Mus musculus: one gene and its partners. The protein of the gene in region 5 binds, or shares a complex with, the protein of the main gene of each other region. Links are inferred from orthologs where the notes say so. Each region holds a gene or a part of one and is shown on either strand. Other genes may lie near its edges. The genes, in order: Arpc1b, Actr2, Arpc2, Actr3, Arpc3 and Arpc5.

Region 1 (4,679 bases), about 23 Mb from region 5:
TCTGGGCTGAGGGTCAGGAAAAGGATCTCTGGTGCCTACAGTTTCCCAAGAGAGAATTCAGAAGCCTGGAGCTGGGAGGAATTTGGGTCCACGGGCCAAGAGAGTGAGGTTGTAGGTCCAGAAGTGAAAAATAACAAAGCGAGTTTTGTTGCGGTTACCAGTCATTCGTATGCTAGTGGACTAAGCACACGCCGTTCTCCTTCAGTAGAAATCAGGAGAGCTGGAGTAGAGGAGGCAGGGGAGGGCTTGGGCAGACTTTGCTGACATTCAAGAGATGGCAAGGACTCCCTCCACCCCAGGGTGCTAACAGGCCACGATGGTGACCATTTGCAGAGCAACCTGCTGGACATGAGGAGCTGGGACTCCTCCTCCACCCTCCAAGCCCTGCTGCTTGTCTGATAGGGGTCTCCTTCCCAGGCAGACGTCCAGCTCACCTGCACTTGAAGTCACAGGAGCCTGCTGCCAGGAGCACGTTGTTGGGATGCCAGTCCAGGCTGAGCACTGTGGAGCGGATGGGCTTTTTTATGTGTTTGCACACCCACCTAGACACATGGGTAAGAAAGGCAGGCAGGTGGATAGGTAGCATGGATTGTAGCATTCCAGGTAGGTCAGAACTCTCTGCCTTGTCACTACCCACCACATAAGATCATGTGGTTCTAAATGGTTAGGGTGGAATATGAATTCTGTTTCTCCAGAGTCAAAACTGTCCTTGTCCTCCTACATGGGAGATTTAAGACACAGGTGGGACAGGCATCTGACACACACACAAATTATAATAGAGAATTGAATTCCAGGGTAGCCTTGGCTACATAGCAAGACGCGGTCTCAAAAGCCTCACCTCGGGTGGGGAATGATTGAGCAGCAGGTTCTTAGCATGCATGAAGCACAGACGAGGCGTGGTGGTGCACACCGGTCATCCCAGTATTAGAAGGGCAGAGGCAAGAGGAACACACGTTTAGGATCACCCCTGGCTATACACTGAGCTTGAGGTCCTCCTGGCCTACATTCAGACCCTGTCCTTTTTTAAAAATTGTGGCTGGGTGTTCATGAGTGGTCTCTGAAGCCAGATGCCTACTGACTGTCGGTGTTGAACCCGCTTAACAGTGCAGCAAGGGAGGCTGGTGGTGGTGCGTGCATGGAGCTCAGTGTAGTATCCCCGGAAGTCAGAGTTGTGGGGTCACTGTAGAGAGGACGCTCTGCCTCACCAGTGAGGCTCAGAAGACAGATGTCCTGGAGTCTCCACATTGCATCTGCCATGTTCAGGGACATTCTGATCTTGCATCACGTATGCACCCGTACCCCAGCCCAGGTTCCTCCACCCCCAGCCAAGCACCCACCAGTCATTCTCCTGCTCAAAATAACAGATGGAAATGACCCGGGAGCCGCTGCCCACGGCGAACTTGTTCTCATTGGGGGCCCAGCGCACACAGCGGGCAGCTCGATTGATCCGGAGGATGACCAGTGTGGGCTTCCACGTGCGGCCCTTCAGCGTCCACACATAGGCATTGCGGTCCGTGCCGCAGGTCACAATGCGGTTACTCTCAGGGGCCCAGTCGATGCCTGCAGGGTCAGGTCAGAGGACGTAAGACTAAAGGCACCCAAGCTACAGCGGCCATGTCCAGATCTTTGACTGTGGTGCCCAGGGATTTGCTCATACTAACCAAGTGCTCTACCACTGAGCCAAGCATTCAGCCCCACCAGAAAATTTTAGGCAGGTGTTCTACTGTCGAACCATGACCCTGCCCCTGACAACTGGGGGATTCAATGCAAATGCTCTACTGCTGAGACCCATGACCACTGGAGAACTCCAAGGAGGTGCTGTACTGCTGAGCAGCATCCCCCACCCCTCATGCTCTAGGGGTGACTACAAAAACTTATTAGCAGGGAGCTAGCAATCTTCACCAGCTAACACCAACCATGTTGGAGGTAAAGCCAGGAAACAGGTAAGAACTGTGCCTCCTGATACTGAGCTGCCGATCAGGCCTCTCCTGAGCATCTAAGTGCTCAGTTATAGACACCAATATAATCTCTTTACCATCTTTAAAATTTTATTTTTGCCTGGCGTAGTCGTACACGCCTTTAATCCCAGCACTCGGGAGGCAGAGGCAGGCAGATTTCTGAGTTCGAGGCCAGCCTGGTCTACAAAGTGAGTTCCAGGACAGCCAGGGCTACACAGAGAAACCCTGTCTTGGAAAACAAAAAACAAAACAAAATTTATTTATTTACTTAGTGCCTTATATGTGCCATGGCTAGTTTGTGGAGGTCAGAGGACAACTTGCAGGAACCGTTATTCTCTGACCACGTGGGTCCTAGAGATGGAACTCAGATCTTCAAGTTTGGCAGTTAAACCCCCTTTATCCACTGAGCCATCTTTATGGTCCCTAAATCAACTGGGATCAGAGTCCTTTTCATTGCAACCCAGACTACTCCAGCTAATACTGAGCGAGTTGCTGGCCACGCTGGCCCTGCCCCGTCCCCTTGCCTCCTCTCACCTGTCACCTGCCCGTTGTGCTCCTTCAGCTCGTGCACCTTGTTCCACTTGGCACCGCTCTTCTCATAGATGTGCACCTCATGGTTGTTGGGGCAGATGGCGATCTCTGTAGGGAGACGGGCATGAGCTTAAGGAAGCAGCGTGGGCGCCCACCCTGCCCACCTATGCTCTCCACTAGAGTACTCTTCCAGAGCCAGGCCGTCCCTAGCATTTAGATTCCCCCACAGCAGTCTCAGGACCCTGGAGCCTCACCTCATCCCACAGCTCTGTGTTAGCAAAAGTCCCGTTACTGCCCTGTCTCCATGACATTCCTCTCGGCCCTGGGGCCCTCCTACCCACTGTGCCCTTAAAGTGTTTCACATTCTGTGTGTTTGTGTGTGTGCACACGCGTGCGTGAGCCACAGCATGGGAATGCAAGTCAGAGGACACCTTGTCGTCTTGAGTTCTTTCCCTGCACTATGTGGGTTCTGCCGCTCAAACTCATAAAGCTTGCTTGGCAAGCAATGCTGAGCCATCTCACTGGCCCATTTTGTTGATTTTTAGAAGTAGGTTTCACTGTGTAGCTCAGGCTGGCTTCAAACTTATAAGCCCTCTGCCTCTGTCTCCTGAGTTCTGAGATGATACGCGTGTACCCCCACCCACCAGAGCAGATCCAGAAGGCCCAGGCTGTTGAACGGATCACCCAACATTTCAACACCTCCCTTTCTACCCGCCTGGCCACCTCTGCCTGCTCTGCGGTTCTACGCCACTCTCCCAGGAGCAACCACTTGCTTTAAGCAGAGATCCAAGATGTGGAGTCTGGCTGCACCCCACCCCTCAAAGCTGTCCCACTACCCTGCCACTCCATTGGACCCAGCAATCCCAGTTCGGAGGCCACCCTGCAGAAGCGAGCACTCACGTGTACGGTCCTTGTTCCAGGCATGGCAGCTGATGGGCTCCACCAGGAAGCTGTGGTAGGCCATAGTCACTTGTCTCCTGGGCCTAGGGAGGGAGGCAGAATGCAGGTCACCTGTGCCCTGCTCTTGGCAGGGAGGAACAGTCTGCTCACCCTAGTTTCCTGACCGGCCAAGTATGTTACAGCCTCCCCGTGAGCCCGTGTCCCTCATCCCAAGAAAGCAGGTGACACAAGATGTCCCAGGCCGCAGATAGCTGGAACAGTGTGGGACCCTGAGCCACATAGGCCTGCTACTTTTCACCTGTGCCTCAGTTCCTTCCGAGTGGAGGATACGCCCCTGCTCCATGAACGCACACACGCAGTCCCATATAAGAGCAATGTAAAAATTAAACAATACCCCTAACCCACTTACAGCAGAGCCTGGCTCAAAATGCAGTTGGGCCAGTCAGTGCCCGGTCCTCCCTTCCCAGGCCCTGAGGGTTGAGCAAAGCAGGGAAAGTAGATAAGACAGCTGGCACTCTGGGGCAGGCTCAGAGCTGGGCTCCCGCAGCTTCCTCCCCTACACACTGAGGTTCAGAGGACTCTGGGACTGAGGAGGGACGCCCAGCCTTCAGGCTTCCCTACAGCCTTTCCTGGCTAAGGAGCTGCCTCGGAGCCCTTGGCGCACGGCCCCTTCCCCCAGGGCATTCACCTTGCTACTCCCACATCCTGCCAGATGTGTTTCTTAGCCATTCCAACCCATATTTTCATGCCTGGGATCTCCTCTTTGCCTTTCTCTCTAGTCTTACTCCACTATGTCACTCATCCAAAAATACCGAAAGTCACCTCCTCCAAATCCCTGCTCTGTCCAACCCCTTCCCTCACCTCCCCAGACTCAGGATGTTTCGAGACTATGGAGAGACATCATGGCACTGTCGGCCAGCTGTGTAAGCCAAAAGCTCACCTCTGCCCCACCCCCACCCCACCTCTAGCTGAGGGGAGAGGAGAGTGGGGTGGTATACCTAGGCTGGGCTTGACAGCACATGCCTGTAATTCCAGCAATGGACGAATAAGATCTGAGGCCACCCTGAGCTACCCAGACCTTGTCTCAAGAAACAACCAGAGCTGGGGATTGTAGCTCAGTTGGCAGAGTGCTTGCCTAGCGCTAGTGAGGGTTCCCTCCTCAGCACTACATAAATCCGGTGCGGTGATACAAGCTTGAGAGACAGAGGCAGGAGAATAGTCCTAACTCAAGTCATCTTCAGCGCACAGTGAATTCTACCCAGGCCGGCCCGAACGACGCGAAACGCTGTC
Region 2 (4,679 bases), on a different chromosome or scaffold from region 5:
GCTTGGGCTGTTACCTATTGAGACATTATCTCAAAACAAAACAAAAATTTAAGGAACACTGATTTAGAAAATTTTTTATGCTACTGCATCTTAAATAACTTTATCTAAGTGGTAACTATAACCTTAACTTAAGCCAGTAAGATTTAGACAGTCCAACACTTTAACATGACTTACGCAGAAATCCCTTACCTGCTGAACTCTGGTCTGTATGGCTGGTTTGTCTGCCTCAGGCTTACAGAGAGAGATTCTCCTGTGCCTGGCTCCCAAGTGCTGAGATTACAGGTGGGCACACTGTGCCTGGCAGTCATTCAGAGTCTGAGGCTGACCTATATACACAGGTGGGCCTCAAACTCAGTAACGTTTCAGCCCCATATCAAATTTACTGAAGTTACAGGTGGGCACCACCATGTCTCAGGTTTTGTTTTTGTGGGGGTGTTGGAAAGGGGAAAGCGGGGTTAAGATGGCCTGGCTATTAGTCCAGGCTGAGCTTGAGCTAATTCAATGACTCTCCTGTCATAACCAGTGTCCAACACAAATCAATCAAGTCTTACACTGTTAGTTCTCTCATGGTTTGCTTTATGCCATTTCCTTCAAAACAAGATTGAAAATTGGGATCGTAAGCCACCAGAACAAACCTGGAGGTTAAGAGACATTATAAAATACATTTTTATTGTGCCCTTAAAGTGGCATCTTTTTGTTTTTTGGCTTTTTTTTTTTTTTTTTGGAGGGCAGGGGTTGAGACAGGGGGTCTCTTTATTCTTGGCCTGCTTGGGACTTACTATATAGACTCAAGCTTAGGAATCCTCCTGCCTCTGCCTCTAAGTACTGGAATTAAAGGCATGTTCTACCACAACTAGTCTCTGACAATATTTTCTTCCCTTTTTTTTGACTTTTGAGACTGGGTCTTACTATGTACCCTTGGCTAGCCTAGACTTCATGGAAATCACCATGTCAAGCTATTTTGGTTGGTTTTGGAGGCCTCATGAGGTTGGTCTCACTACTTATATGGCACTCTTGCCTCAGTATTCTGAGTGTTTTTATTACAGCATGTGCTACCATGCCCAGCACAAGTGTTCTTAAGCCGGCGGTGGTGGCACACGCCTTTAATCCCAGCATTTGGGAGGCAGAGCCAGGCGGATTTCTGAGTTTGAGGCCAGCCTGGTCTGCAGAATGAGTGCCAGGATAGCCAGGGCTGTACAGAGAAACCCTGTCTCAAAAAACAAAAACAAAAAAACAAAAAAAACAAAAAAAAAAAACAAGTGTTCTTAAGCCCAGGGATCACAAATGTGTGCAACATAATGGATTTTAAAATAAATCTGAAACTAGCCTGGGTTCTAACCCAGCCTGGGCTACAATGAGACTCTGTCTGAGGGAAAAAAAAAAATCAAAGCATGAATACTTCCTAAAATACATTTCTTAGATGATTAGCTCCATGACACACTACAAAAATTTGAGGTCCATGCAATCCCAGCATTCAGGAGGCCGAGGCAGGAGGACTGTGTAGTACATATATAGCGAGACTCTCAGGATGGTCCGACAGGCTGAGACACAGGCACACGACATTTTCACATCAAAGAGCTTACAAGTCAGACAACAAAGCAGCATCCATTGTCTCCACAGTGTGTGACAGTTATAACTGTGCTCTATTTTCATAACTCCTAAGCAGCCCCAGAGAAATGACACTGTACAAAACATGTTGAGCGATACTCTCAAGATGCTCGAATCTCAAATATGACCTCCATTTTTAATTATATTCTAATTTAATTCTTGCCTTAATTTGCAATATATGGAATCCCTAATAACTAATCACAGAAACTAAACATAGCAGGAAATCCTGAGAAATCATATGTAAACATATTACAATAACTAATACCCATGTTAAGGCCTAATCTGCTGGGCACACATAAGACCCTAGGTATGATATTCAGCAATGTGTGTGTGTGTGTGTGTGTGTGTGTGTGTGTGTGTGACCAAACAAACCAAGACTCTGGAGTCGAGGTGACACTAATAAACACAGATGCCCCTTTACACCCATAATGTATTTTACATAGGATACTTACTGTATATGACTCAACTAACACTGTGGTCTCTAAGGCCAGCTTCTGCTCCTGCTCAATATTGTAACCCACATAACAAAGTTTTTCCTTAATCATGCGAACTGTCTCAAAATCAGCAGAATGGTTGAAGGCATATCCTCGCAACAGCAGCAGCTGGTATAAAAAGAATGGCAGTAAATTAATAATCTATGAGAACGAGTTCCACTGAACAAAAGTTAATCTCCTAGAGGATAAAATGGCTCGGAAGGTCAAAGGCACTTGCTGTCTATGCCCGACAACCTAAACTCAATCCCGGGAACCAATAGCAAAGCCAATAATGCTATCCTGGGGTGAGGCTACAACTCTTGTATAGTGAGTTTTCTAAGTTATTTTATCATTTTAAATTATGTGTATTGTGTGTCTTTGTGTGGATATGTGCCTGAGAGGTCCAGAAGAAGGCATTAGACTTCATGGGAACCAGAGTTACAGGCAATGGTGAGCGGGCCAAGATGGGAACCAAGATGTTTCTCTGCAAGGCAGTATGTGCGCCTGATCACCGAGCCAGCTCTCTAGCCTCTGTCTTTGTATAAGTCAATAAACAAACTTAAAAAAAAAAAAAAAAAAAAAAAAGACTACCTTTTATTATATTTTCCTCTCACTTACCTTGATAAGATACCTGGTAATATCCCTCCCAGCAATATCCAGCCTCCTTGTAAGGTGAGGGAGAGAAAAGCCTTCATATACTGGGCAAATGTGAGTGACGCCATCTCCAGAGTCCACTACTACACCAGTCAGTAAACCTGCACAAGAACCAGAAGGTTCTGAGTTAATTCAGAAAATCAAAGCGAGAACGTTTCAAATGTAGTAGAGATGCCACCCACAAAAAGGTGGCTAGTGAGGCTTAGAGCCAGCATTTCCTTTCCTTGTTTTCTTAAAGATTTATTTTATTTTATGAGTATGGGTATTTTGCTTCCATGCATATAGGTGTGCACTAGAGGCATGTCCTGTGCCACGGATACCCTGGAACTGAACTGGAGTTACAGACAGTTGTGGGCTGCCATGTAGGTGCTGGGAATTGAACGCAGGTCCTCTGGAAGAGCATTCAATGCTCCTAACTGCTGAGCCTTCTCTCCAGCCCCCATTTCTTCTCGTTTTGTTTTTCTCAAGACAGGTCTTTTTATGTATTCCTGGCTATCCTGGAACTTGCTATATAGACCAGACTGGCCTCATATTCACAGAGATCTTCCTGCTTCTGCCTCTGCCTCTTCCTCTGCCTCTGAGCACTGGGACTAACGGTGTGTGCCCCTAGGCTCAACTTCAGCACTTAATTTCTAATCACAGATGGCAGGCAGCATTTGCTCCCTGAAGACTTTCTTTCTTTGTATTTGACTTACATGTGGCGTGGAGGGGAAGGGAGGGGAACATGCATGCCATATGGTGCGTGTGAAGTCAGAAGACAACATGGGGCAAGTGCAGGGGCTGGTTCTCTCCTGCCGCCAAGTGTGGCCAAGGATGGAACTCAGGTTTCAGACTTGGTGCTAAGTGGCATTACCCAAACTCATCTTGCCCTGGTGTTAAGGGCCCTTAACACATACCTTTAATCTAACAATAAAGGTAAAGTTAGTTTGTAGAAGAAAGCTCCTGTGTTTGAAAGTGATGCCTAACTAAGTAACAACATGACGAATTAGAGAAAAATTTGGCAGAATAGGGTATGCCCAACTCTCACAAGAGGGAGGTAATTTGACTTGTCTAGTTATAGAGAGACAGGTTGCAGAGAGAACAAGGCAGACACAGGAAAGACAGAGCGAGCCAGAGAATGAGAAGAAGCCTGAAGACTAGAACTGACTGCCAAAGTTAGTATGAGGCCACGCAGAACCTGCCAGGCAGAGCTCAGAAAGAACTATAAAGGGCGAGCTTACCCAGCAGTAAGTCTCTGAGGCTGAGGGCGAGCTTACCCAGCAGTAAGTCTCTGAGGCTGAGGGCGAGCTTACCCAGCAGTAAGTCTCTGAGGCTGAAAGCTTCCAGGACCAGGCCTAGGTCAGCAGAGGGCGGTAAGCCTCAGCGACAGTAACTACTACAGGAGAATAAAAATTACATTTACAGGAAACAACTGGGAAAAGTGACTATTAACCCAGTTACAAGACAGTAAGTGAATCTGCTAAGATCACCTGGTCAGCGCTGGTGCTCATACCAGAAACCAGCTTTCAGAAGGCTTGTGATTGAAGAACCAGAAACTCTACGTTACCTATCTCAAAAAAAACCCAAAACAAGGCCTCTAGCAGAGAAAAACTCCACCCCTCACTCTTCTATTTAAAGGATGACTAGAGTTCCTAGACAGCCAGAGCTAGAGTCAGGCACCATCTCAAAACAAAAGAAAAACACAGAAGTGGATGCTCACAGTCATCTGTAAGATGGAACACAGGGCCCCCAATGGAGAAGCCAGAGAAAGCACCCAAGGAGCTGAAGGGGTCTGCAACCCTATAGGTAGAACAACTATATGAACTAACCAGTACCCCCAGAGCTTGTGTCTCTAGCTGCATATGTAGCAGAAGATGGCCTAGTCGGCCATTACTGGGAAGAGAGGGCCCTTGGTCTTGCAAACTTTATATGCCCCAGTACAGGGGAATGTCAGGGCCAAGAAGT
Region 3 (5,357 bases), on a different chromosome or scaffold from region 5:
CAGTGCAACGTCACTCTGGAGTGTGCACTGCACTACTCTAACATCTTTGAAGAACGCCTCCCGAGAGCTGGGAAGCAGTGCAGGCGAGTGCTTCCCAGCATGTGCAAGGCCCTGAGGACTCAAACACCCTCCCCAGAGGAAACCAGCTCACACCTTCATTGTCAGTAGGCGACCAGCACCGTCCAACGGAACTGTCTGCAGTAACAAGCTCGAACAGTGGGCAAACACAGCAGTCGCTCGCCCCAAGTGGCAATGGAGTCTAAAGATCCAACACAGCTAGTCCAACTCAGGAAACAAATTTTAGTTTTACTTCATCTTTTTATTTAAATAACGGGCCACATATAGTAAGTGGCTATGGTACAGGACACTCCAGAACAGAAAGAATCCCTCTGGCAAAGGCTACATGATCATAACTTCCCTGACTAATCTCTTCTGCCAAGTGCAAAGAGCAGTGTGGGGCTCAGCTCTCCCCACTTCCACCCTGCACAGCCTCTCATCTCTCTGGGGTCTCCGGGCTTCTTCTCTTTAAGCTCGTTATCTTCTCCCAATATAGCGTATACATCAGTCCCTCCCTAACTTCGATAACAGGCTCTCTTCGGAAGGGCCCCATGCTTTCAGCTGCTGCCTGGTATTGGGCTCTGGTGAGACGCACCCATGTTTATGATGAGCACACTAGACATCCTTGTTGACCTCTGTAACCACCCCAGTGCTGCCTCATCTTAAAGGGCGGACCTGGAAACACTTTTTTTTTTTCAGAGGTAGGCTTTTCTTTTAATTTCTTTTCTTTTGAAATAAAGTCTCACTAAATATCCCTGGCTGGACTAGAACCTGTGTTGACCCTTCTGCCTGTTTCCCTAGTGCTAGGATTATAGGAGGGTGCCATTACACCCCACAGAAACAGCCAATTTCAGAAAATCCCCGCCCTCCATAGTCTCTTCTCAAAGACATCAAAGTATTTTTAACACAATGTTTTGAGTGCATTTGTTAAGTCATACATTCTAAGGATGAGCTAGAATAAGACAAAACCTCCTACCTCCTCAGACATTTTACCTGGCTGCAGTGAGCACCCTTACCACCTCCCCCCAAAGAAATTCTAACTTATGCCCTCCAAATTTAAAACCCTATTTTAATCTTTCTGAAAGAGTAAGCTTTTTACTTGCAACAGGGTAGACCAGGCTGGCCTTGCTCTCCTGGTCCTCCTGCTTCCACTTCCCAAGCACTGGGATTACAAGCACATCACACCCAGTCTGGCCTGCCTTTTTCTTTTTTCTTTGATACAAAGTCTCACTAGGGCCTAGAACTTTTGTTCCTCCTGTCTCCTATGAGCTCCTGAAAGCTGGAGTTACAGTTGAATGTGCTTGGACTACAGGCATAGACCACCAACCACAGAACTTTAAGGAGAGTTTTCTAAAAGAAAAAGGGCTACAGAAAGTTCTGAATAATGGGTCACATCTTAGAATCAAGTTATTAATAAGTAAGTGTGAAAGTCCTCCTCCATTTAAAGGCATGCCTCCACTTGAACACACACAGCCATTTATCTTGTAGATCAGCTTGTAACCACCCAGGACTCATTCTTTGCTAGTCAAGACTTGAGAATGTATGTATTAAGATCAGCAGTGAAAATGCAGAAGTTATTTTAACTTCCTCCTTTGTGCTACACTAATTAAAAAAAAAAAAAAGCACGCACCCCCCTCACCCACAGTAAGTGCCCTGTGTTGACTAACTCCAAAACTCAAAATGCAAAGAAGCTGCAGACAAGAAACAAGTGAGGTGCACAAATGCTCAACTGCAGTCCAGGGCAGGAAACAGCATGACACTGAATGCACCAATTCAAGGAATGTCCCATTTTGTTTTGCAGGTAAAATCTGTAACCTTACAAAAGAGACGGAGCAGACAATGTATTCCGAGTAAGTAGTGGGTTCATGCTTTCGATGTCTGTGAACCACAAGTTCATTACAAATGCTTAGAATTAAAGGGGGAGAATGAATGAATTCCCCCTCTCCCAGTCCTCTTCCCTCTGTGGATCGGCAAGCACTTTCCTATTTCTAGTTCCTAGTTCACAGAAAACAGCCTGCACTTATTTCCTAACTGTGAAACCAAAATGTGAAGCCCCACCTTTACCAATGAGGAAATGAGGCAAAGGAATGGCCACAGGCCACCATAAATTAGAACCTAAAACCCAATTCCTCTGCTCAGGTTTTAAATATATTAGAGAGGCAACGCGGCTTTAAGGGAGGAGTTTGCTTTTTTGTGTATGACAGAGAGGGCTGGAAATACGTCCCATATATTAAGATGCTGATGTTATAAATGGTTATCTTAAGAACTTTATAGATTCTGGGAGCAGAAGCAGCTATTAACCCAGTCGGCATTACTACAGAAGAAATCAAAGACCGGGGTCTTTGATAAGAATTTAAGACACACAACCAATAAGTAAATAGAGCAAGCTTGTCTCGAGAGCTAAAGAGAGTGTGGATGGAGAACCGTTGGCTTTGCCTAAAGGATATATAACAAAATGGCTAGTTTCACAGTAGGTTAGAGATTTTTTTTACCCCCCTAGCAGCCTGGGTCTGCTTTCAGTCTTGCCTCCTGCTTTTCCTGGGGTCTCGAGAGATGGGGGTGGGGAAGCAGAATGCTGGTGGCGATCTGGGCCTACACGTTCTTCCCACCTCGCCCTGGGAATTCCTGAAAACTCCATTCAATCCAGCTTCCCCAAAAGGGTCTCTCTGGGTTCGGTACAATGACGGAAAAGACAGAGGGAAGTGCACCCCTCTCTTCCCCCCTGAGGACCGTAGGCTCTCGGGCGTGACTTCTGGCCTCGGCTGCCCTCACGTCCTACAGGTCTCCTGTTCTCTGGCACGCCTTGCCCCTGTCCTCTCGCTGCTTCCGCATCCCTATCTCAGCCTCTCCCCACGCATCTCAGGCCCTCGGCTCACCGCGCCCCGTGGCTTCCCACGTCCATCCTGCCAGGGAAACCCTGAAGCCGCGCCAGGTTCCCGATTTGTCCCCCTCTAGGGCTGGGGAGCTGGACGCCACCCGGGATTTAGCTGGGGTCAACTCGGCCTCCTCCCGGCGTGCGCTTACCCGGCGGCCGCGTTCTCGAACTTGAGCGCGAGCGTCTCCTCGATGATGCGGTTGTTCACCTCCAGCAGGATCATGGCGGCGGCTGCCCCGGGCAGGGGAAGGAGAAACAAGGGCGGTGAGGGTGGGCAATCGAGGGTAGGACGGAGGGAGCGGCCCCGCTGCCCCTGACGAGGGGGGCTGGGTGCGGTAGGTGAGGGGAGAAGGGGACGGGGAGCGGGGTGGGGAGAGGCGGACACACGCGCTGGCCCGGCACGCGCTGCCTGTAGCAGGCAGCCACCACCCGACCGACCTGGCCCCCGAAGCTTCAACCCGCCTGCCGAGCCGCCGCCGCCTCCGCCGCCGCCTTACTTGACGATCCCGGTCCCCGCCCAGCCCCCGGCTCCAGCCGGCCACTTCCGCTCTCACACCCACTTCCGCTCGCCGCCCGCACGCGCGGCCCCGCGGCGCCATTTCCGCTTCGACCTCGCGCGTGCACTCGCCCGCAAGCGCGTCCCGGTGAGGAGGCAGGCAGAGGGCATGCGTGCGCATGCGCCACACGCCGCCCCGCTCCTCCTGACCAGGAGAGTCCTACGCTCACCTGTCATTCCCCGTTGTCCGTACAATCCACCTGCCCCTTTCGCGAATATTCCAGAAGCCTGATTCCACCCTTCCGATATTATTTCAGAAGCCCCCTTAAGAAGCTTGTTTGGGGTGGGGGGGATCCCTTGCTTCCAACTTGTGGGTGCTTTTTGCTCATTCCGTGCTTAGGGCTACCCTGCAGCACCGTTGTGCCTATTCTTCGCCAGCGACTGTTTAGTGGCCATCTCTCCTTCCCAGGGATACAGTGATTAATGCAATAGATGAGGACTTGACCTTCTAAAGCTTATGGTCTGCTAAAAGAAACGCAATAAAAGCCCGGCGTGGTGGCGCACGCCTTTAATCCCAGCACTCAGGAGGCAGAGGCAAGCCTGGTCTACAAAGTGAGTTCCAGGACAGCCAGGGCTATACAGAGAAACCCTGTCTCGAAAAACCAAAACCAAAAAAAAAAAAAAAACAAAAACAAAAAACCAACAACAACAAAAACGCAATAAATTCCACGTTGTTATTGGGCAATAAAGGAAAGGAATCCAGATGGGCCTTAGGGATTCCTGTCATACCTTTATTTCTTTGCTTAAGTGCCGCCACCGCCACCTGTCCTTTCAGCTTGGGTACCATGTTTCCACTTTTTTCTCTTCCAGGAACAATTTTAATTAAGCCTCTTCTCCATGCAATAAAAAAAAAAATTTTGTTTGATATTGATCAGAGGACACCTTTTGGTAGTCAGTTCCCTTCTCTCTCCAACACATGGATCCTGAGAATTGAACTCAGGTCATCGGGCTTAACAACAGGCACAACTTGCTGAGCCACGCCCTGGCCCTGTTTGTCCAGATTTTTGAAAGAGGGACTTGCTCTGTAGCTCTGGCTAGCCTTGAACATGTATTGGTGTCTCCAAGTTCTGGGATTCTCAGTTCACACCAATATGCCTTTCTTACTTCATTTCAGTTGTCTCTAAAAAAATCTTTTTTGCTGCTTGTGGTGAGGCATACTTTTAATCCTAGCACTCGGGAGGTGGAGACAGGCAGATTTCTGTGTGTTCCAGGCCAGTCTGTTCTACACAGCAAGTTCCAAGCAAGCCAGAACTGCATGGTGAGACCTTGTCTCTTGTCTCAAAGCAAATGAACAAATATGGAATTCTAAGATTTATTATTATAGGGAGAGTACATGTGCATCGTGGTTGTTGAGTGGAGGCTGGAGGACAGCTTTTGGACATTGGTTATCTTCTTCCACTGTGGAATCCTGGGATGAAAGTCAGGTCATCAGCCTTGCCTAGCAAGTACTTTACCTGCTGAGCCATCTCTCAAACCCCAAAGCACAAATGTGTATGCTAAGCAATAGAGTCCCACTAGCTTTGCTAAAGATGACACCTACGACGTGTCTAATCTTTGCCTGAGTTATTATTTTTTTTTCAAGAAGTTGACAACAGCATCGTCTTTCTCACACTGAGGCCATAGGCCCCTCAGGTTTAGGCAGGTTTCTGACAGCTGACCTGTCACCTACAGAGGGACAAGACTCCACCCTTAGAAGGTATTTGTGCTGCCCTTTTCTGAGCATGCACAATCTGAAGAGAAGTAAAGTTTGCTTTGGAAAGCACAGCCTACCGGTTCTTACTTGCTTTTTCTTGCTTGAGTCACCTTAGCCCAATCCTTAGACTACTTCCTTCCTTATTCCATAAATATCCCTGAGATCCCTCTTCTGGA
Region 4 (4,679 bases), on a different chromosome or scaffold from region 5:
GGTTATCAAATGTATTTCATATGTTCTTATTCTTCTCCCTTGTGTTTATTTCACTTTTATGTAGGTATAGCACACTTTGCTTGTTGTTCTATACACTTGCTTTGTTCAGCTACTCCAGTATATCTGAAAGTGTTCCAATCAGTATGTAAAAGGGGCATACTAGTCACAGTGTAAACTGAGTGTAGTTTGCTAATTTCCCTTTGGACATTTCCAGTCTCTTACCATTACAAACAAATTTATAGAGAAGGTTTTCTTGCATGTTGCTTCACACATGTAGTAATAGTCCTGTATTATTAGTTGATGGAAGTGGTAGTGGTTAATGGGATAGCTCAGTGAGTGCAGATGTTTGCTGCCAAACCTGATTGCCTGTAGACTTCTATCGCTGAATCCATTTGGTGAAAGAGAGAGAACTTATCTCTGAAGGTTATTCTCTGACCTCCACATTCATGCAGTGGCTTGTGTACACACAGTAAATGAGTAAACTTACAAAGGCAGAGTGTGTGAGTAAAGGCTCCTGCTGTCAAGCATCGTGATCTACATTTAGTCTTTGGGACCTTCATGATGGACAAGACACCCAACTCTTGAAAGTTATCCCCCGACTTCCATACCTGCATTATGGTGCACGTCTGTGCATATATACATGCATTCATACATACATAATATACTTTTTTTTTTTTAAGTTGTGGGCATTTGAGTTTGTAGCTTAGTAATAGAGCACTTGCCTAGCTTGTGCAAAGCCCCATGATTTGGTCCACAAATACAGCAGAAAGAAACAGAACTGTAGATATATGTGATTTTGATAGTTTCTCAGTGTTACAGCTCTCACCTTCCTTCAACTCGCTCTGTAGTCAGGCTGGCCTCAAACTCACAGAGATCTGCCGGCCTCTGCCTCTTGAGTGCTGGCATTAAAGATGCACACCACCATTGCCTAGCAAGTGATTTAGATAGTTTTCAAGGCAGAGATGCTGAGTGAACTAAACTTCTGAATATGTATATACAACAAACTCTCACTTTTTAACAAAATTGCAGAATACATATTGAGATTAGTGAAATTTTATGAAATTTTTATTTTACAGATATACAAAACTAGGATATGCTGGAAATACAGAGCCACAGTTTATCATCCCATCATGTAAGTATTTCTTTTTCCCCATGGATGAGCTGATTTAAAGGTTTTCCTCATTTCATTATCAAAGTAAAACAAGTCATCAAGCATGCTATTATGTCAGAATCAGGCATTTAGAAACAGGATTGCCTGTAGATGGAACCTTATTTCCAACTCTTTTAACTATTTATTTTAGGTCTTTACCAAATCTGCTAAGTATCTCTTTAAGGAAAACAAAACAAAACCAAACCCAGTAGTGAATTGATAATTAAATAGTTTCTGCTTTGAGGATATTGCTGCTACCTTTGTGTATCTGTAACTGGCTATTAAGTAGCTCAGCTAAAGTGACCGTCCTTTGGCTGGAGGATACCATTACTGTTTGCAAGACCTATCCTGTAGACATCTGATGCAAACGCCAATATTTCTCAGTGAGGAGCAGTGGTCCTTGACTCAGCAGCCTCACTGTTTGCTGATATCCTATAAGCATGCTATGTTTAACATTGTCTTTGGGAACTTTTGTTCTATTCTGCTTCTGTTAACATTCTGCTAGTTGTAACAGTTTTAGTAGATTTAGATTGTTACAGGTATTTTTATTAGTAAAGGTGTATATTATCCTCAGCGTTATTTTTGTATTTTTGATTTCCATCATCTTAAGGCTGTTTGCATAATTATAACAAGTGAAGATGCTTAACTTGAATTCACAAAATTAAAACCTAATTAGATTACATAGCAGGTTTTTTTAAAACAGTGTTTTACTTTTAGTCACGTGTGTATGAGGCTATCTATCTGCCGTGTGTGTATATGGGTACCATATGTGTATATGAGACACAGGAGAGTATCCAATCCCCAAGAGCTGGAGTTATAGTAGTTGTGAATTAATCCGTGTGCTGAGAACTAAATGTGGGTTCTCTGGGTGAACTGTATGCTCTCTTAATCACTAAGCCAGCTCCAGCTCCAAAAAGTACACCAGTAGATTTCACCTCTGGGAATAGACACAGAATTCTGAAATTAGTTAAAGGGATTACTTTTTGTATTTAAGATTAAAATTTAGTAGATCCCCATTGGATAAGAATAAATAGAGATGTAAAGAAAGCTTGTTTTTAAAAGTTCTTTTGTAGATTTTTCTCCTTTTATTGGTTAGTGTTATTTACCTTTAATTTCTTGCTTATCCATTAAGCTTTATATTGACTTTATAAGATTACAATTTTATTTTGAACTTATTGTACGTATATTGAGTATGGTTGCATAGTTGTCATAACATACATGTAGAGGTCAGAATGACTTTCTTACAAGTCAATTCTCTCCTTCCATCATGTGGGTTCTGGGGATCGAACTTAGGTCATGAGACTTGTAGAACAAGTACTTTTACCCACTCAGCCATCTTTCTGGCAGTACAGGATTCAGAGCTAAGCTAAGGGTTGGTAGCAAAGGACTGCAATTCTTATTACTTGGGAAGTTAAGGGAGGCAGGTTCCAAGTTTAAGACTGGCTGGATAACTTAGTGAGTTGTGTCTCAAAAGTAAAAAATTTAAAAAGGCTAGGTAGATAGCTTGGTGGAAGTATATACCTGATATGTGTAAAACCCTAGTAACACACATGCAGCCACATAATTGGAATCAAAATTTAATAGTTGTTGGAAATGGAGCTGAAATAATCCCATAGTAATACATTTGGGGGGTTGATACTTGAGGCCTGATCCCTGAGATGAAGCTGAGGTATGGGTGTCTAGAAGGCATTTTGTCTATGGCTTTTGTTCATTAGTTGAGAGTTTTAAGTATTCTGGATCATGCTTATTTGTTGTTTTTAGTAACATTTTACAATTGAAGAAGGCAAGTTAAAAGTTGTTTCATTTGAAGAGATAAAATTTTTAAGATGTCTAATTACTTTACTTCAAAGGTATTGCCATTAAAGAGTCTGCAAAAGTGGGTGACCAAGCCCAGAGGAGGGTGATGAAAGGCGTGGATGACCTAGACTTCTTCATTGGTGATGAAGCAATAGAAAAGCCCACATATGCAACAAAGGTATGTTTCTAAGAGGGCTCCAATCAGCCGGTGGCCGGTTTCACTCTGTCGTGGGCTTGTTGCTTTCTCACATTGAGTTTTCTGGTTTAAAATTTTCGAGACAGGAACTCACCTGGAACTGGCTGTGTAGACCAGGCTGCTCTTGAGTTCATAGATTTGCCTGCTTCTGCCTTTTTGAGTGCTAGGATTAAAGGTGCTTAAAGCCAGTTTAAAACCATATCTCGCTCTGCTCTCATCTTCCTAACTGTAAAAATGTCTCCTTTCCCTTTAGCTTTAACACAGTGAAGTGGGTGGATTTACTTTTCTGTGCCCTAGCCTCTCAGGGCCCTTGGTAGGGAATGAGTGTTCTTTCGTCTCCGCATTACTACATCTAGAGAGATTTCCTTCTTGGATCAGATACTCATTTCTTCTAAGCCATGAGGGAATCTTGTTCTTCCTCTTTCCTTCCCTGCCTTTTCTGTCTCTTGATTGACATAGAACTTACACAGCAAAGCAAGTAGTCTTCATTATGCAGCTTGGAGAGTTTATGTGGCTGATTGTACCAGGTAAGAGCGAATCTTGTAACACAGGTCTTCCTGTGTCTTTGTTCACAGCCACTTCTACAGCCTTCTTGGAAGGTAAACACTTCCAAGCATTCATTTCCTCCTGCGTGCTTTTCTCTCTTTGTAATTTTAAATGAATAACTACCCTACCATATGTAAAAATAAATCGTTACAGTTTTTTGCTTTGTGCTGAAAAGAAAGTAGCAAGAAACAACTTCTCTCCCAGGGATATTATGAAGCGAGTAAAAGGAAAGGAAAGCAGGATAGGGCGTTGTAGGCATGAACCACAGAAGTTGTTAGTCTAGTTGGGGATTTAGCAGTCCTTGAGGGATAAATTCTTGAGCTGAGTCTGGAGTTAGGCAAGATGTACAGACAGCCATTAGGCAGAAGCTAGTACAAAAGAGGGCTTATTAGGAAGACAGGGAGCAGCATAGCTTATGTGCCTGAAATCCAGGGGCTTCATGAGAGCCAGTTCCACCCACAGGTAACATTCATGGATATACTTGATCAACTGTGTTCCTAAGTTCTGTTTGGATTTGAATTTTGGCTGTGCTTCTTTTTAGCTTTGTGGTATTATTCTATGGCTTATCTTTCTGTAATTTAGTTATTTGTGGATGCAATGGAGCTATTAGTACTTCAGGGTTAGTGTAGACCTTGTTTAGAGGATGGCTATAAAGAAATTGTTGTAGTACTCAAATAGTGAAGTGTAATTATTTGAGGGAGGCATGTGTATTTCTGAAGTAATGATGTATGGCAAGGGATGTTTGTGACTTGGGCCAAGGCAGAAGTTTTCAACCTTAATGCTAAGACCCTTTAATATAGTAGTTCCTCATGTTGTGATGATTCCCAACCATATATTTTGTTGCTACAGTTATGAATTATAATGTACATACCTGATATGCAGGATAGCTGATAATCAACCCCCCAAGGGTTCATAATTCACAGGCTGAGAACTGCTGGACTAAGGTAAATGCTAGTAGGGATAAAGAGTTTAAAGGGGTATGTGTGTGTG
Region 5 (3,581 bases):
CAATCAGGATGTAAAACGAATAAACAAATAAATTAATGGGAAAAAAATTCAACAACAAAAAGGAAAATGGCTTAAGCCACTTGAAAAATGGTTGAATCACTAGGCATAGTGGCACACACCTCTAATCCCAACACTTGGGAGGCAGAGGCAGGCAGATCTCTGCGAGTTCAAGGCCAGCCTGGTCTATAGAGTGAGTTCCAGGACAGCCAGGGCTGGCTGCACAGAGCGACCCTGTCTTGAAACTTCCTCACCCTTCCCCAGAAAAGAAAGAAAAATGGACAAAGTCTAAACAGTTGTGTGGAGAAGGTGTGTAAGTGGCCACATCAAAGCAGCTCACCATCTTCAAGAGAAATACAGACCAAGGCACAATGAGATTCCACGTCACAGCCCCTGGGAGAGCAATGGAATGTGTTGGTGAAACATGGAAGAAAACAGAGCAGTCACATGTCACTGTGGGAATATGGAACAGCACAAGTGTGGGGGGAAAAAACCACGCAGGCCTTCTCCAGTTCCCGTGTGACTCAAGAGGTCCTACCCTGAGGGCTATGATAAGCAAGAAAAATGAAAACTTGTGTCCACATTAGAAATGTGTACATGGCTGTTCTTGACAACAGTGTTTAGTCAGAGCTCCAAGACAGAAACAACACAAATATCCATTGGATGATGATGAACAGACACGTGATCTGTGTCCAAATGGAATATTACTCAGCCATAAAAAAGGAACGGACAGAGCATGGATGCACCACCATGGGTGGGTGTTGATGATGTTGTGCCACGTGAAAAGCCAGGTATGAACGGATAATTATTGTTTGATTCCACTTACATGAGCGATGGGGAGCTGGGGGGATGGGCTTAGCAACACGCTAATTAAACAAAGCCAGACTGGAAGGCTGACTTATCCACTATAGAACTCATATGATCACATGAAGTATCTAGAATAAACAAGTCTATGAAGATAGAGCATAGACTAGTCCAGAAGTTGGGGGTGGGGGTAGGAGGCTTATCAGCAAAGGAGGGAAATCACTGCTAAAGGCACATCTTTTGGGGGTAATAAAAGCGTTGTAGAATTAGATGTACGTCATGGTTATGAAACTGTACATACATACTCACAACCACCAAACTGTTCATTATTTGAAAGGATTTGATGGAGCCCAGCGTAGTGGAGAACTCCTGCAATCCCAGGACAGGGAGTCAAGGTGGGAGGACTTAGGTTTAAGACCCACTTGGGAGACAAAACGAGCTACAGGCCAGTCTGGGCTACACAGTGAGGCTGGCTCAAAAACGACAAACCAAACCAAACCATAAATAGAAAACCAAGCCCTATCCCTCAATATACCACCCTTTCCCATACACGGTACAGTGTGTGTAAGCTTTTTCTCAAAAATGTTTTAATTCAATGTCTAACATAAGCAGTGACATTTATTATATATTAAGTACCAGCTTAAAACTGCCAAAAATCGAAATCACCCGACACCCACCCTCCCAATTCTTGACCAAGAGCTTTTCCAGCAAAGACAGGCTCTCTTCTCTCCTTGATACGGTAGGTATGAACAGACACATCGGCCTGTGTGTCCTATGATGTGTCTCCACGTGATGGTGCTGCCCAGGCTCCTCTCACTGCCCAGGCCCCGAAAGACTCTTGTTCATGAACTGTCTCTTCACAAAGCAAGTCCACCACTGTCAAAGGCACAAGACAGAGCATATGCTCAGGGTCAGGGCACAGTGCAAGTGTGGGCGCGGGCCAGCATTCCAGCCTCTCTCTATGACAAACAACAGTGTAAACAGCAGACACCTCCCACTGAACTCAAAGGTGACCCCACAGAGCAGGGAGACGCGTCCACCTGGCCCTCCCCAGGCGTGAGGCTCGTATCACATCCACCCACGGGCAGGAAGGCATGTGAGGCAGACGCGGTAGCATGCCTGTGTACTGCAGAACTAGAGGCAGAGGCAGAAGGAGCTAAGGTCACCTGTGGCCACACAGTTAGCTCAAGTCCAGCCTGGGCCATTGTTCACCCCCCCCCCCACCCCAACCAAGGGGCCCTGACACGCACTGTATACACGCATGCATGCACATACACGCACACACACACAGATTGCTCCCTGTGACTGTTCTGTACCTGATGCAACAGAGCCACCATTTCCATTTTACATGGCATTTACATCACATACAGATGCCATGCCATTTCACAGCAGGGACCAACAGCCACAGACTGTGGACATATGGCTACACAGCCCATACATAAACGATAGCCGTGGTCTTCCAGAGCAGGCAGAAATGATCGCTCTCGACAGCAGACTTCAGCGGTTTAGAAGGCCACGGGCCAGAGGCTCCAGCTCCAATTAAACAGGCAGAAGGGGACATCTCACCTTGCTGGGTTTATCACTCTGAGGGTCAAAAACCTTCTCACACAGCCTCAGTCCGGTCTCTTGCCTCAGCTGCTGGAGGTACGCCCGCATCATCTCTGCAATACAGGAAATCTGTGTGTGAGGAGGCCCTAACCATGGCCTGTCTGACACTGACCTTGGTGAAGTATTTGCACACATTCAGACAGCTTAGGACAAGAAAGAATGGCCTAGATGGTCTTGGTCCTCTTGGTCGTCTTGGTCTCTCTCTTTCTCTCTCTCTCTCTTCCTCTGTGTGCGCGCACGCATACGCGCACTTACAGGAGTGTGGTTTTCTCCTTCCACTGTGTGTGTGGGTCCCAGGAATCAAGCCCAGACCGTCAGGCTTGTCAGCGGCTGCCTTTACCAGCTGAGCCACCTTGCTGACACAGAATGGTTTCATAACTACGTTCATTTTGGTAGTAGTTCAACAATCTCTGCATGTTCGTTACACTTGTTCCCAAGCTCTCTTGTGACAGTTAAGGCAACACGCGTGTGCTGAGCACCCCGCTGTCAATCTGAGCACCAGCCAGTGGGCCGGGGAGATGGTTCAGAGGAGAAAGAGCCTGCCGTGCACGAGAACCAGAGAAACAATCCTCAGCATCCACATACAAGTACAGTGGGCACGGTGGCTGGCCTGCCTGCAGCGCCAGCCCTTAGGAGGGGCAGGGCCGGGGGATCCCGGGAGCAAGCTGGCCAGTTACACGAGCTCAGTCAGTGAGTTCCATGTGCAGTGAAAGAGCTTGCCTCGATATTGCCTAGATATGCAACGTGGACAGTGACCAAAGACCCAAAACCAACCTCTGGCCTCGGAGCACACAAGCACACAAGTACATTCACACCCACTTGACTTGCCCACACACACACACACACACACACACACACACACACACACTTCCAGTCTTGTTCTTACCGTCCTCCTGTTTGCTCGCAGGCTTGGCATAAATGGCGTTGAGAGGAAAGCCAGGCTCTCCGGGGATAGGGAAGTTGGTGATTCCTAGCGTGTACATTTCCTTCTCGCCTTGGCTCTTGGAGTTGCACTAAAATCAAAGGACACCGTTGGTACGTGAGAGTAAGTCTCCAAATACAACCCTTCACTGCACGCAGCTGCCAGGGGTGTACGCGTGGGTGGGTGTTCTGTGAGTGCCCGTCTGCAGTGCCTGAACCTGCAGCCCTCTCAACACTGCTCCCAAGGAATA
Region 6 (5,314 bases), on a different chromosome or scaffold from region 5:
AGTTTTGTGGCTGCAATAATTATTATGTTTTTACATATTACTCTTCAATTAAGGTTCTTAGGTTCCTGAGATGTAGGCTTTTACAGGGCTTTGCTTAGCCTGCATTTTAAACAATAAACAACTAAGCAGTTCCCTAAGAATCAGTGGAGGGCTGATGTAGGGATGTAAGCTACAAAGCTCTTCTGAGAGATTTGGCAATGCTTTGTGTATCAAAAGTCTTTAAAAAATGTCATTTTTGTGCTAGCATTTCTCTTCTGGGAATTTTATTGACATAAATAATTAAGATTTAAAATGATCAATTTTAGCAGGAAAAACTAGAAAATCTAACATGCAATAACAGGGATCAGTTGCATATAAGATGTTACATACTAGTGTATAGCAGTTAAATGCCACAGAAATAATCTATTGCTAAGGAAAGAAGATCATGTACATGACTACACAGCTGGAGTGTAAGATTCTATTTATTTTTTAAAAGAGCACAAACCCTTGTAGAAACTCCTTAGGTGTGCAGCGATACCATATAAGGCAGTGACTGAGACCCAAGGAATAGCATGGAGATCACCTTTTTAAGCTTGCATGCTTTGTTTTCTATAATATTTACAAAATTAGGAAAAACTATAAGACCCAAGGAAGTAGGACAGAGATCACCTTTTTAAGGTCACGCATGCTTTGTTTTCTATAATATTTAATATTTACAAAATTAGGAAATCAAGAAGCAGCTGTGTGTGTTTGGCAAATTTATTTTTCAAGCCCATTTAAATCCAACCTGAGTGGATTCCTCCTGAAGCACACGCAGAAGTGATGGCTCTATCCTTTAAATTTACTGCACTCCACACGGCACTCTCCTAACTCTACATTTCAGGGCTATTTTTTTCATGACATTTTTACTTGTCACAAGCTCCCTTTAAAGCTGGACGTGGTGGCATATACCTTTAATCCCAGTGGAGGCAGGAGATCTCCTGAGTTTCAGACCAGGTTATAGACTGCGGTTCAGTCTCAAAAGTCACACTGTAAACTCTTGTGTCAAGGACAGGAAATAGGTACAATGTTGACTGTGGGGCATCAAAGGACTTTGCTAATAGTGAAACAGAAGAGATTAATGCTGTAGTCTGAAACTCACCTTCACTGCCTGGCTCTTTGTGTTAATAGGGGGGTTTTTCAGAGCAGCCTGGAGAGCAGCTGTCATGTTTCCTGTAACGAAGGTTAAGGGTGGAACAGAAAAGGATGGCCCCTGCTTTACAGGAATATTGGTTTTTGACTTGACTTTCTGCACAGTAACAAAAGTTACTATGGTCATTATGTTCGATATTAGAAACTGCATGGGTGTGTTTCCCACATGTCAACCAATGGTAAAAATACTGGAATTAAACAATAGATTTAAAAAAAAAAAGCAAAGACTGTTTTGACCTCAGTTCTATCAGTCAAATAGATTACACTTTCCAGTGAGATACACGCAATTGTCTAGATGGGTATTCAAGAAATCTTAAGACTATGTGTTAAGAATTATTAGGTCACCAAATGATGCAGTTTACCAACAAAGTATACCACTTGTCTGTGTGACTCTTGCTGGAAAACAACCCTAGACTTTATACTGAAACTACACTGTGTATTAACTGAAATGCTGGCTGATTATTCTGGCAATCAGAATGGAAGAATAGCTTAATATGAACAGGGCTCTGGATGATGTAGTAACCCGCACGACCTGTAGGTGGCAGCTTACTTTATTTCCTACAGGTTATTCAAACTGGGCTGGACCATCCATACCTACTCAGTCTCTGAAAGCACTGGTGAGTTAGCAAGCAGGGGAAACGGAAGGCCAATCAGACTGTCAGAACAGACAGTCATTTCCCTAAAAGGAGAAACAGAGTCACTGGTTCCTCCATCTGTAGTACCCGACCAATCTGAAGTCTCTCCTAGTTAGAACCAGAGACAATATCTTTATATTTTAAAATGGATTGACAAAAAGGTAGACTGAATTGATAATGAACACAGCAGTAGGAATCACCAGAAATTACCTAAAATACATTAGTTTAATAAAATATCATATATCCACCATAAAGACTAAAAAAAAAAAAAAAAAAAAAAAAAAAAAAAAACCCAAACAAACAAAGAATAAGCTCACCATTTCTGTGCAAAGGGTCTAATAAAAAATTATCTACAGTAGGTAATAAACTACTGTCAAGCCTGCATGGTCTTTTAAAGAAAAAAAAAACCCAAGTATTTTAACAAATAATCAAATTAGTAACAACTGTGAAAGTTATGGTAATGAAAGTTAAACCTATACTGCACATATATGTACGTTTGATGCTGTGGTTACCACTGTTTTTGCTCACTTTCTTCATTATAATCTAGTAGAAAATTGATGAGGGGAGAGCTGTATGAACAGACTTAATGAATACGATTTTTCTAAAGCTCCAGTTTGGATTTTTGTAACATTCTATTTTTCTAAGGGATCGATGCAAATGAATTTCGAGGTTATGAATATTCAGATATGCAAACCAAGGAACCAGGAACTGACAGCCATGTTTTAACTAGAAGGGAAACAATTTCAGAAAAACAATGTTGATTTATAGAACCGACTCATTCTCTGCTTTATTCACTGGGGTTCATCTTATATTATTCCCAGGGATTCTCTGCATGCATTCGCTATCCCTTTTTTAGTGGCCTTTTCTTAGCAGGTGAAAGGTTCCAAGCTTTAACTGGGAATTTTGGAGAAGAAAACTCCCTTCGGCTCGTTCATGAATTATAATGCCACCTTGCCAAAGCCCTTCTCTCTTAATAAACAATGCTGCCGATGAAATAGCCCCGGGGCTGAATGTACCGAGGGCCTCGATTTGCGAACCGCTCCATCTCTCCTGGCTAGGGATAAACTATCCCCGCTCCGCCAACCACACACACCGGACAGGAAAGCAAGACTCCAAGCGGGACGCCCGTGTCCCCACCGGGCAGAGACTGGCTCAGGTGCCCACTAGGACACCAGCGGTGCCCCGGGGAGGGCGCGGCCGCTTAGGACCGCGCACCTGAGGAATCGGGGCGCCGCCGGTAAGTTCGCCGGCGCGGCCGCGGGGTACAGGCGGCCTGCTGGCCCCGGGAGCTCCTGTCCTCCGTCCCCACCTAGAGCCGGGCACAGCCGGTCGCGTGGCCCCGCGTCCCCACAACCCCCGGCCGCCGCGAGCGTAAGGATATTGCCGTAGGCACGAGTCCACCTCGCCCTCGTCGGGCCCGGCCTGGCCATCGCCGCCGTCCTCCTCGTCCACGAACTTGTTCTCGTCATATTCGTCCACGTCCACCTTCCGGAAGCGGGCCGACGACACCGTGTTCTTCGACATCCCGGATCGCGACGCGACGCTGGCCTGCCCCTCCGCGGTGCCTCTCCTTTAGCGAGCCCAGCCCGGTCCGACTCACTTCCCTCTTCCGCTCTGGGGCGTCGCCGGCAGCCGCGGCTTGCAAGCTTCTGGGCCTGCGCGCTAGCGGGCTCGGCCTCCTCCTCTGCTTGCAGCCATCCTTCAGCCCCCGCTCCGCCCCCGCGTCCCCCGGGAGCGCGCGTCGGCAGGGGAGCGCGCGGGACGCACCGCGCACGCGCGGGCCCGCTGCAGGAAAGGGGCGGGGCTGGAGAAGGAGGCGGGGGCGGCGGGTCGACAGAAAGCTGGCAGAGGCGGCGCGGAGACGCGATTGGTCGCCGGGGAGCATCACGTGATGCCCGGGACGTTCCCATAGAAACGCTTTTCTGCGGTCCTGCCTTGCGGGGGGTCTTGGGCTGGAGGCTATGGGCACCTCGGGAGCGTGGCCTGGAGTGCTGCTGCCGCCGCCGCTGTCGGTGCCAGCCGCTGGTTGTTGGGGTCCGGTGTGAAGTGTGGGTGACCGGACTCGCGCGTGGGGTGCGATGGACTGGCTGCAGAACCTAGTCCCCTGCAGTCTGCAGGAGTATGAGGCAAAGTGATGCCCAGCTCGGAACTAGTGATCGGAGCCCTCCATTCGGACCGTGCGCCGCCGGGGGCTGCCTTCCCGAGCTGAGAGCCCCTTCCCCGGCTTGGACTCTTGGCACGCTGTCGGTGGGAGGTCCCCAAGGACGGAATCGAAAAGGTCACTTCTTACCTGTCAGTGCTGTGTGACAGCATCGCGACCGGACCTGCAGAATCTGAACTAGGTATTCTCTCCATCTGGAGGGAGGGAAAAGACGCTTGGGCCAGGTAGTGAAATTGGGGCAAACTTGTAGCATTTTCTAGAATCAGTCATCACATCTTAAAATAAGTAGTTATTTGGAGCAAGAATGCCAGAAGAGGGTGGGCGAGTTAGGCTCTTCAGTGCTGAGGGAAAATAGCGAGTGCAAGGATTAATAGAGACTGGACTTTCAAGGTTGTTATTTATTGTTTAAGGTTCCTGGAAGCACGTCAAATCAGCTTTTTGCTATATTCCATATTCCGGTTTGTGAGATCAGAGCTTCTGTTGAGGAGGCAGAGGCACAAAGATTAATCAAATAATAGCTGTGCTCTGTGTAATATACCGTAGTACAAGTATTTACAGAATAAAATTAATTCAGACATTTGGCTTTGCCCTGCTTCGATGCAGAACCACCTGGTTTCACGTATAGCAGAAGGCTGGATGTCATCCTGTTGAGTTTTCTCGTTTGCTCTGCCGTACTGGAAAAGAGCACTGGGCTTGGGATCAAAAAGCAGGCTGAGTCTCGACTTTTCTGCTCTCATAATCTGCATGATTGAGGCATGTTGCTTAAAAATTGGAACCTTGGATTTCTTAGTACTAAGATGGGGCTAATGTGCTTTTCACAAGGATGTTCCCAGGGCTCAATACGTGGAAATGCTTCGAAAAGACTCTAAAATTCTGCATATGTGTGCAATGTGTTATGGGTTATGTAGCACGAGCTTCATAAACTACCTAATGATAGGTTTTATTCTTGCTGGGGAAAGAGATCCCAAGATTCTGAAGGGCTGAATCTAATTTTTTCTTATGTATCTTTTTTCATATAAAATAAAATTAGGTATTCAGAAGGTAGTTAGTGCATGCTTGATGAGTTAGTGAAATATAAAATATATAAAAACATTGGGAATAGAGACTCAATCAAAAAGAGAAAGACGTCAGGATCAAACAGTTGTTGATCATAGGCACACACATGTGTATGTATGTGTTTATGTAGAGAGAGCGCTGTATGTGAAGTGTGTCCCTTTTCCTTGTGAAGAAGCAATGTGGCACTCCCTCTAGGTTTATCATTCAGTTGATAGAAGTGACATTTCCTTGATTAACACTCACATTGTCAGCTAGTAAAAACTCTCGTGTCTTAAGACAGCAAAGGAGACAT

Evidence for each region.
Region 1: Arpc3 (region 5) and Arpc1b share a complex: the UniProt entries of both Homo sapiens proteins name them as parts of the arp2/3 complex. The link is inferred for Mus musculus from reciprocal best matches to the Homo sapiens genes ARPC3 and ARPC1B.
Region 2: Arpc3 (region 5) and Actr2 share a complex: the UniProt entries of both Homo sapiens proteins name them as parts of the arp2/3 complex. The link is inferred for Mus musculus from reciprocal best matches to the Homo sapiens genes ARPC3 and ACTR2.
Region 3: Arpc3 (region 5) and Arpc2 share a complex: the UniProt entries of both Homo sapiens proteins name them as parts of the arp2/3 complex. The link is inferred for Mus musculus from reciprocal best matches to the Homo sapiens genes ARPC3 and ARPC2.
Region 4: the proteins of Arpc3 (region 5) and Actr3 are in contact, whole or in part, in a cryo-EM structure (PDB 6YW6), measured with the Homo sapiens proteins. The link is inferred for Mus musculus from reciprocal best matches to the Homo sapiens genes ARPC3 and ACTR3. Residues at the interface, in NP_001265485.1 of Homo sapiens: Tyr47, Tyr48, Lys50, Ala51, Phe54, Phe55, Lys56, Lys158, Trp159, Thr161, Cys162, Phe163, Val164, Lys165, Arg166; in NP_005712.1 of Homo sapiens: Phe203, Gln206, Asp210, Arg211, Glu212, Leu238, Val239, Phe242, Asn243, Ile253, Asp270, Gly272, Tyr273, Glu286, Phe287, Pro290.
Region 6: Arpc3 (region 5) and Arpc5 share a complex: the UniProt entries of both Homo sapiens proteins name them as parts of the arp2/3 complex. The link is inferred for Mus musculus from reciprocal best matches to the Homo sapiens genes ARPC3 and ARPC5.

Annotation. Positions count from the first base shown.
Region 1 is NC_000071.6:145,120,450-145,125,128, reverse strand, and holds part of Arpc1b (actin-related protein 2/3 complex subunit 1B), read right to left. Parts: intron 3,473-4,679; 5' UTR 3,454-3,472; coding exon 3,390-3,453; intron 2,598-3,389; coding exon 2,493-2,597; intron 1,561-2,492; coding exon 1,338-1,560; intron 543-1,337; coding exon 435-542; intron 1-434. UniProt on the Homo sapiens protein: Component of the Arp2/3 complex, a multiprotein complex that mediates actin polymerization upon stimulation by nucleation-promoting factor (NPF).
Region 2 is NC_000077.6:20,077,963-20,082,641, forward strand, and holds part of Actr2 (actin-related protein 2), read right to left. Parts: intron 2,837-4,679; coding exon 2,700-2,836; intron 2,211-2,699; coding exon 2,061-2,210; intron 1-2,060. UniProt on the Homo sapiens protein: ATP-binding component of the Arp2/3 complex, a multiprotein complex that mediates actin polymerization upon stimulation by nucleation-promoting factor (NPF).
Region 3 is NC_000067.6:74,234,624-74,239,980, reverse strand, and holds the start of Arpc2 (actin-related protein 2/3 complex subunit 2), read right to left. Parts: upstream 3,465-5,357; 5' UTR 3,156-3,464; coding exon 3,082-3,155; intron 1-3,081. UniProt on the Homo sapiens protein: Actin-binding component of the Arp2/3 complex, a multiprotein complex that mediates actin polymerization upon stimulation by nucleation-promoting factor (NPF).
Region 4 is NC_000067.6:125,414,702-125,419,380, reverse strand, and holds part of Actr3 (actin-related protein 3), read left to right. Parts: intron 1-1,076; coding exon 1,077-1,132; intron 1,133-3,000; coding exon 3,001-3,125; intron 3,126-4,679. UniProt on the Homo sapiens protein: ATP-binding component of the Arp2/3 complex, a multiprotein complex that mediates actin polymerization upon stimulation by nucleation-promoting factor (NPF).
Region 5 is NC_000071.6:122,403,965-122,407,545, reverse strand, and holds the end of Arpc3 (actin-related protein 2/3 complex subunit 3), read right to left. Parts: intron 3,423-3,581; coding exon 3,296-3,422; intron 2,463-3,295; coding exon 2,368-2,462; intron 1,678-2,367; coding exon 1,615-1,677; 3' UTR 1,365-1,614; downstream 1-1,364. UniProt on the Homo sapiens protein: Component of the Arp2/3 complex, a multiprotein complex that mediates actin polymerization upon stimulation by nucleation-promoting factor (NPF).
Region 6 is NC_000067.6:152,764,740-152,770,053, reverse strand, and holds the start of Arpc5 (actin-related protein 2/3 complex subunit 5), read right to left. Parts: upstream 3,513-5,314; 5' UTR 3,330-3,512; coding exon 3,187-3,329; intron 1,194-3,186; coding exon 1,121-1,193; intron 1-1,120. UniProt on the Homo sapiens protein: Component of the Arp2/3 complex, a multiprotein complex that mediates actin polymerization upon stimulation by nucleation-promoting factor (NPF).